Linked DNA regions of Callithrix jacchus. The protein of the gene in region 1 purifies or fractionates together with the protein of each later gene. This does not show direct contact. Links are inferred from orthologs where the notes say so. Each region holds a gene or a part of one and is shown on either strand. Other genes may lie near its edges.

The links. The genes of interacting proteins can lie anywhere in the genome.
Region 2: the proteins of CDC5L (region 1) and BZW1 purify together in Homo sapiens (affinity purification with mass spectrometry; 3 studies listed by BioGRID and IntAct, with this or other methods). This does not show direct contact. The link is inferred for Callithrix jacchus from reciprocal best matches to the Homo sapiens genes CDC5L and BZW1.

What each region holds. Positions count from the first base shown.
Region 1 is NC_133505.1:52,877,850-52,881,600, forward strand, and holds part of CDC5L (cell division cycle 5-like protein), read left to right. Parts: intron 1-2,163; coding exon 2,164-2,326; intron 2,327-3,751.
Region 2 is NC_133507.1:121,909,990-121,914,408, forward strand, and holds the start of BZW1 (eIF5-mimic protein 2), read left to right. Parts: upstream 1-1,571; 5' UTR 1,572-2,063; coding exon 2,064-2,149; intron 2,150-2,816; coding exon 2,817-2,890; intron 2,891-4,419. UniProt on the Homo sapiens protein: Translation initiation regulator which represses repeat-associated non-AUG (RAN) initiated translation probably by acting as a competitive inhibitor of eukaryotic translation initiation factor 5 (EIF5) function.

The DNA.
Region 1 (3,751 bases):
GTGCCGTGGTGCGGTATCAGTTCACAGAACCCCTCTGTCTCCTGGGTTCAAGTGATTCTTGTGTCTCAGCCTCCCGAGTAGCTGGGGTTACAGGCTCCCACCATGCCTGTCTAATTGGAGTGTCCTTTTGCAAAGTTTCGGATCCTGTCACGTTATTTTTGAATGCTTTATATTTGAGTTTAGAGTAGATTGATTCATTTTTAATGATTACTTTATGAATTTTATTAAGATTGTAATCCTTTTGTGTATGTATTACTGTTGCTTTTCCCCCAGCATTTTATTTTGAAAATATCAAGCATTTAGAGAGGTTGAAAGAATGTGTGGAAGTTATCAGTATTGAAATGGAATCACTTATGTAATATTTTCATGAAAAAGGAACCCTCATGTGCATATGCCCATGACAGAAATTATTGCAGAGATCTTCTGAAAACCACACAAATTCCAGATAAGTTGCTTCTGTGAAGACATTGCCCTACCAGGTTGAACATCCTAAATCTGAAAATCCAAAATCTAGACTTTTTGAGCACCAACAACATGACACTCAAAGGAAATGCTCGTTGAAACAGTTCAGTTTCGAAGTTTCAGATTTGGCGTGCTCAACCAGTATAATGCAAATATCCCCAAATCTGAAAAAATTCCATATCTGAAACTCTTCTGGTCCCACATTTCAGATAAGGGGTGCTCTTATCTATATCGGCAATGAAAATAAATGCCACCTCCTGTGCTAAGTCCCTGTAACCAGTGGCCTTTATTTCAAAGCAGTTTTCATGGACTTCTCCCTTTTATCATTAAAACCTTCCCCTTGCCCCAGCACCCTCGGGTATACCTGTGGTCTGTCATAGCACGCATATCCCACAGTCATCCCTTGTTGTTCCTGAATAAACTCCTTGTTTTGGAGACCCAGTCTCTCACCTGTTTAAGTTGACAAATGCTAAAGTGAACATCCGTATCATCATGCCACCACTTAGATTCTAAGATTGCTAGTATTTTAGTGTATTTGCTTTATCACCTATCGATCCATCAATTCATCATATTTTTAAATGCATTTCAAAGTAACTTGCAGATATCAGTTTGTTTGATCCCTAAGCACTTCCACATGCATTAACTAGAATTAGTATTTTTTTATAACTCTTTTGCTTAGTTTTAAGCTGCCATTTTTTAAGAAGAATCCCAAAAAAACCCAAACAGTACAACAGTAAAAAATAATACAAATACAAATACAGTATAACAACTATTTATATAGTATTTAAATTGTATTAAGTGTTATAAGTAATCTAGAGATGATTTAAAGTACATGGGAGGATGTGCAAACGTTATATGCAAATACGATGCCATTTTATATCAGGGACTTGAGTATCTGCAGATTTTGGTCCTGGAACCAATCACTGTGGATACTTAGGGACAACTGTACGTCTTGTTTGTCACCTAGATTGTAAAATCCATGGGGACAGGGACCATGTCTTATGTGATAACACCTTACCTATCAGGAATAGCTGTCTGGCAGCATCACCATTCTGCAACACACCAATATACAGGAAATAGGCAACCAGGAAAAAAAAAGACTTTGAATAATTAAAATATGGGTTGCTGCAAAGTCTGTGGATCTAATTCCTAGGAGACTCTCTTAGGCCTCCCTCAGGAGCTTACTCATGTTTAGATGGGATTCTAAAAGTGTGGTATTTGGTTTCTAAACAAAATGTAAAATGAGGAACTATTTAAAGTGTGTACATCAGTAGTAATGACAATGATAATGATGCGCGAGAGCCAACAGCTTGTTAGGGAGGAGACAAAACCAAATTCAAAGAGGAATCTGGTCATTGAGTGTGGTGGCCCATCTCCCTGCCCACTGCATATTCTTAGCTGCCCTAATGTGCCTGGAAAAGGTTGAAATAATGTTTAGTGGACCTAGTTTATTAGAAAGGCTAGAAAATATCATATGTAATGACTATTGACAGTTAAAAAGTAAAAATATTATGTTTAAATAACATGGTAGCTCGACCAAACATTGATTTTAACCTAGAGAGCCTAATGAAACTAGCTAGACAGAATTTCTGGAATCTTTATTTCTTTATTTCCTGCGAAATAATTTATGTGACAAACATTTGAAAGCACAATCTAAAATATAAGTAGCGCTGCTGTTAATTGGGATTCCTGTCTTTCTAGGACTCCTTCTAATGGAACTGAAGGGCTGACTCCCCGGAGTGGAACAACTCCCAAACCAGTTATTAACTCTACGCCGGGTAGGACTCCTCTTCGAGACAAGTTAAACATTAATCCTGAGGATGGAATGGCAGACTATAGTGATCCTTCTTACGTGAAGCAGATGGTAAATGTCAATTCCCTTTTAAAACTCTTAATTTTTTTTATATCTCATGGGTGCCAAATTAAAATTTCTCCTGTTAGTTCATATCACGTATACCTTAAGAATCTATACACCTGTGGATGCCAAAAAAAGAGAATGATTTGTAAGACTTGATGAAAGAGGGAATCTTTTGGGCTCAAAACCTACCTTTCCTTATGCTTACTAGGTTTACAAATATTGATGTTTGTTGTTGATTTTACTGAAGTTTTCTTCAGCAAGGTGAAGTAGAAAGCTAATTGTAAAAGTTAAGTTTTGCTTCTGCACATGTAATTGCATTTATTACTTTGCTATTGGGCCTTATTATCTGATGCTACAGAAATCATTGTGAAATTAAAAAAATAACTTCTAATGATACTGGCTTGTTTTCATTTTAAAATTAATTCTAACCTAATGTATATATTTGGTTGATTTATATATGTTTTTTTAAAGTCCAAATTGATATCAACTAAAGCCACCTCTGACTGGATACATAAGAATTAAACATTGAGAACTTCATGCATGCAGAGCATGCATTTGGACATTTGAGGGATCTAAAGTTGAATAAAGATGTCCTTTGTCTTAAGGAAATTTATATTCTGGGGAGATTGGCAGTACTAAACTAAGTCCAAAAATAATTGTAATATCAGAACAGAATAAGCCCTTTGAGTAAAACCAATGTGCTTGGGGTAAAGAAAGGAATAATCACATTTGTTGGGTAACAGGAAAGCCTTAATTGAGGAGGTAGGTTCTGAAGGAAGATGGAGGCTGTCCCAGATGGAGACCACAATATGAGTGAGCACGGAGGATGTTTTGGACCTAACAACCCATCTGTTCCTCACAACCTAGTACATGTTAGTAGTAGTGGGAAATGAGGCTGGAAAGGCGAGCTGAGGATGTGGTGAGAATATTCTGGGAAAACTCTGGGTACCAGGAGGCTTTTTTGGTAATCAGGACTTGACTCTCTTTTGCCTACATGGGATTCAGTATTTCTATTAAAAATAAACACACACATACAAATTCAGATATCTTTCAGAGTGCATTTTATTAGTCCAAGGACAAACTAACTTTTGAACCTGTTCTTTTCATTTGCTGTTACATTTCAGTGTCAGAAATGTATTCCCTCAAATGAAAATTATAGGGGTCTTTTTTTTGCCCTGTCCTCAAACCTTCTACTGGAATATCCCAGAGTATCTTCAGTAATAACAGGTGAAAGTTTTCGATTGGTCTGAATGTTGGGAATAAGGAAGAATAGAAAACAAAGCAAAGATTTATCTTAGTTCTGAAGTCAGGATTATTTTTCTAGAATTAATACTAGGCTGATTTTTTTGAGACCTTTCTCTTCTTATAATTTTTAATTTTTGTAGATACATAGTAGCTGTATATATTTATGGGATATATGAGGTATGTTGA
Region 2 (4,419 bases), on another chromosome or scaffold:
GAAAGGACCTGGTGAGAGACAGAGATCTGACTCCGGCCACTTCCTTCTGCTCCCCACAGCCTTCCCAGTCACACTAGCTTCCTGCAGTTCCTCCAACAGATCTTTTTATTTCCTGCCTCCTTCCCACTGCTGTTGCCTCAACTTGGAAGGGCATAGAGCCTGGATTTAACAAATATTTGCTTAATGATTCAGTAGATGATATTGGAACTCTTTTAAGGGGAGTAAATGTTAAATCCTTGAGAATGTATGAGACTGCCACAGAAGAAAGTATGCAGAAAGAAAAGGTGTCAGTACAGAAGAGTCAGCAAATAACTGTGCAAGAGCACATTCAGAGCGTAACCAGGATAACTGCAGACACGTTCCAGGAGACAGGTAACACTCAATGCTCAGCGGAGGCAAACGGTGAAGAATGAAAGAATCACTGGGTTTGGCAATAATTTCAGGAAAGAAAGTTGAGGAAAATTTTCCATGAGGTTGCGCGGGGGTAGGGAGATAGAAGTCAGATAATTAAGCAAAAGAAGTCAACTAATACAGACTATTTTATTAAAAGGTTCAAGGAAGAGAAGCCAATCTCCTTCTACCAGAAAGTAGGGAAACAACCAGAGAGAAGCAAACTGCGGCACAGTGAATAAAAACATGGGGCTACATTCTAAAGGCGCTGTGCATCTCTATCAGCAGAGTTTTGACAGGTTCCCAGTGCTTTTCACACGCACTATCTTATCTGATCGTACCCCAGCTCCCTGATGATACACCCTCTAACTGAGGGGTTCCCAAGGTGTGGTCCGTAGACCAGCTGCAGCATCACAGAGAACTTGTTGGAAAGGCACATTCATGGGCTCCACACCAGGCCTACAGAATCAGAAACTGCGGGTGGGGCCCAGCAATCTGTTCTAACAAGTCCTCCAAGGGATTCTGATGCTCTCCAAGTCTCCACTGCCATCACACTTGGGAGACGACCGCTGCAGAGCGCGGTGGCCGCGGCTGGAGGGCAGAATTGCCTCTTCTGAACCCTCGGCTTGTGTCCTCCTCGCTCCTAAGGGAGGCAGTGAACGAGACAGCCCCTCAGAGCAAAGTCGTCCCGCTAGGGACTCAGCCGGAGCGAGTTCCGCCCACCCCAGCCGGGGCGGAGGCGAGGTGTGGTTTCCTTCCCCAAGCCACGCCCCCGGACCCGCCCCTAGCATCCGCCCCCGCCCTCCGGTTTCGACTTCCGGCGCTGGAGGAGGGGGCCGGTAGGGAGGGATTCGTCCAACTCTGAGACCGGCGCGGGGCGGCTTTGCTCTTCCAACCCCTCCGTGTGTTAACAGGGCAGAAGACGCAGCGGCGGAAGAAAAATAAGCTAGTCTAGGACAGGTATCCAGGCGACGTGGAACCCAGTAAGGGAAGAAAGAAGCCTTGAAACGTCTCTCCCTTCCCCTGTTTCGGTCCCTCACCTTAACCCGCGCGGAATGGAAAAGGCAGAGGCGCTCGGCCAAGATCTAGGCGGGCCGCCGGGGTGGGGCCAGGGGAAGAAATCTCGCGATAGGAGAGCGGTCCGGGCGGGGGTGGCACCTCTCCCCGCTCCTCCTGGCGTTAGTTCCGGTCGCAGAGGAGACACCGCCGCAGTTGCAGCTACATTGGGGATTTCTGGCTCTTTGCTCTTCGCCTTAAATTCGGTGAGGCGCGGCGCCCGGCTTAACCCGAGCCGACATTGCAGGCCGTCGACACTGGGCAGAGGGCGAGTGAGGCAGCGAGCTGGATGCGGCCCGGCTAGGATGGGTCCGAGCGGAGGCCGCCTCTCGAGGCCCGGCCGGATCCTGGGCCTGAAAGGCTGCCGCTTCGGCAGGGAGGCCGAGGGGCGGCAGTGGCCGGGTCGGGAAGTGGGGTCAGGGTGCGCGCCGCGGCGCCGGCGGCGAAGGCCGTGGCCGAGGAGGCCCCCTCTGGGCGCTTCCTGGTCTGGGTAACAAAGCCACCGCGGCCTCTGTTGGGTGGTATACGCGTGGAGGCTTCCGCCGGGAGGGGCAAAGGGGCCACCAACACCACTGCGGCCACCGTCTCCGCCGCTGCTTTCGCTGGAGGGCGGGCGGATGTACGGGGCGGCTGGGGCCCCGGAGCGAAGCGCCTCAGCGTCTGTGGTCCGTTCGTTGCGTCGGCCGCCACCGCAGGCAACAGGGTTAGTAGAGAAGGAGCCACGGCACCCTACGGCGCCCCGCTGTGGCCAAGGGAGTCCTGGGCAGGAGGCTAGGGTGTGGAGAGGGAGACACGTGCCCGGGGAGGAGGCTGGGACTGTGGGATATGGGCGAAGGAGGCTAGGCTGGTTGCTCTCTGTTAGTTTTGCAGGCTTGAGTGGTGCAAGGCGGCGGTCACAGGCATGATCTAGGGTAGGATGGTGCTGCTCATAACCAGGCCTGTCAGAAGGAAGGGGTTCACCTTTTGAGTGTTTTAGAATTGGCATACATGTTTTGGAAGCCTCTTGACTATGGTGGTAATCTGCGTTCTGCGCTTCTTAGTGGTCGTGGAAGATGTAAGTGAATGTAAAGAGGAATGTGGAGGAAACTGAGCAATTAGGTTTAGGATGGGTCATCAGTGTAGCACTGTAATGTCGCTTAAAAGTGTAGTTCACAGCACTAATTTAAAGAGTTTCTTGTAGAGAAAAATGCAGATTTTGACGTTCTGTTTGATTAAAGTGAAGGTAATTCTTTGTGCCTGCACCGGGTATAATTGGAAGCTGAGAGTGCGTGTTCCATTCGATTCATGTGTGACTAGACTAAGGTTTGATGCTTTGTTTTAAAAATGAGTATTATGGCACTGATATTAAGGCTTTATTACTCCTTTCCTAGGGTGTCTTTTATGAATAATCAAAAGCAGCAAAAGCCAACGCTATCAGGCCAGCGTTTTAAAACAAGAAAAAGAGGTAAACATTTATGTTTTAATGTCTCTCTCCAAACTTCCAGAATATATTGTGTTTCTTGCCTCCTGTTATAGGCACTTGCATAGTACTAAAGTCTCAATAGAAGATACCAGAAAGTAACTTAAATTTCTCATTGACTGCCATTTCAGATACACCTTTAATATTTCTACTGCTTTCTCAAGCCTTAATTTTTAGTAAGAATATATCTCTAAGCTGGTTAGTGAATCTTTTTAGTGTGAAGGTAAAGTACTTTTTTAAAACAAAAATAAGGGCTCTGTTTTCACTAGCAAGCAGTCTCATTTCAGCAAACTTAAATGAGCAAAAATGTTAGTTTATAAAAGGAAAGCTCCTAATGTAGTCACCCAGATTTTGTGAAAATTTGTGAGAAAACTCAAGACTTCACCCATGGACGTTAATTATGGAACAGGATTTACATTGTAATGTCTTTCAAAATACAGACTTAGTAGGGAAAATATTAGAATTATATTACTACTTTTTTGCATTAGTGTGTACTTAGGTGAATATTGAATTCTGTAGCAAAGTGCTGTACTAATGATACAAAGTTAAATAAGATGTGGTCTCATATTTTTAACGTTTTTGCTCAAATGCACTTTAACCTTATTTTATAGGAGGTTTTGAGGAAATGAAGAACTGGGTCAGCTATTGGTTAGAAGTTGTGTTTTTCTTTTTCTGCCTTAAGTAGCAGACATTTTGAGATATATATGGTAGAATTTTATAATCACTAATCATAGGCTGTCTGTCCCCTTGGAGTGGTGGTGGGGAAACCAAAGTGTGATTTGATTCTAATCTTTGCAGATTCGTTTAGATTTAGCTGGTAAATTTTCTTAAGGAGCTGGAGTTGTAAACTAGAGCAATTTGTCAGTAAAAGGGGAAAGTCTATATCTCTTGAATATGTGGATTATTGATGTTACCTTGATATAAATAATAGCAAGTAGCTTTATCATTATTATTAGCATCAGAGAGAGGTATCACTTCTGTAGTTCCATATAAAGATCATTCATGGCCTGGCTATTGATGATTAGGGTCCTGGGTAGGGTATGCAACAAGCCCTGTTTTTCTGGGACTGAGGGAGTTTCCAGACACAAGACTTTGAGTGCTAAAACCGGAAAAGCGCTGGGCAAACAGAGGTATTTGTTACCCTAGTACTGTGTGAAAATTAAGATATCATCTACTCTAGATTGGGAAAGCAAAACCCTATTACGGAGTTTGTGAAAGCAACTTAGTTACAGGTTGGCGATGTGCACTAGGCCGTGGCCTGAGTGCTTTTTATATTATTAATGTCATTTAGTATTTACAACAACTTTATGGGATAAGTACTATTATTATTTTTTTTTTTTGAGAGTGTCTCCCTCTGTTGCCCAGGCTGGAGTGCAGTGGTGTGATCTCAGCTCACTGCAACCTCTGCCTCCCTGGTTCAAGTAATTCTCCTGCCTCAGCCTCTTGAGTAGCTGGGATTACAGGAGTGAGCCACCACACCCGGCCTTGGATAGGTACTATTCTTACCCACATTT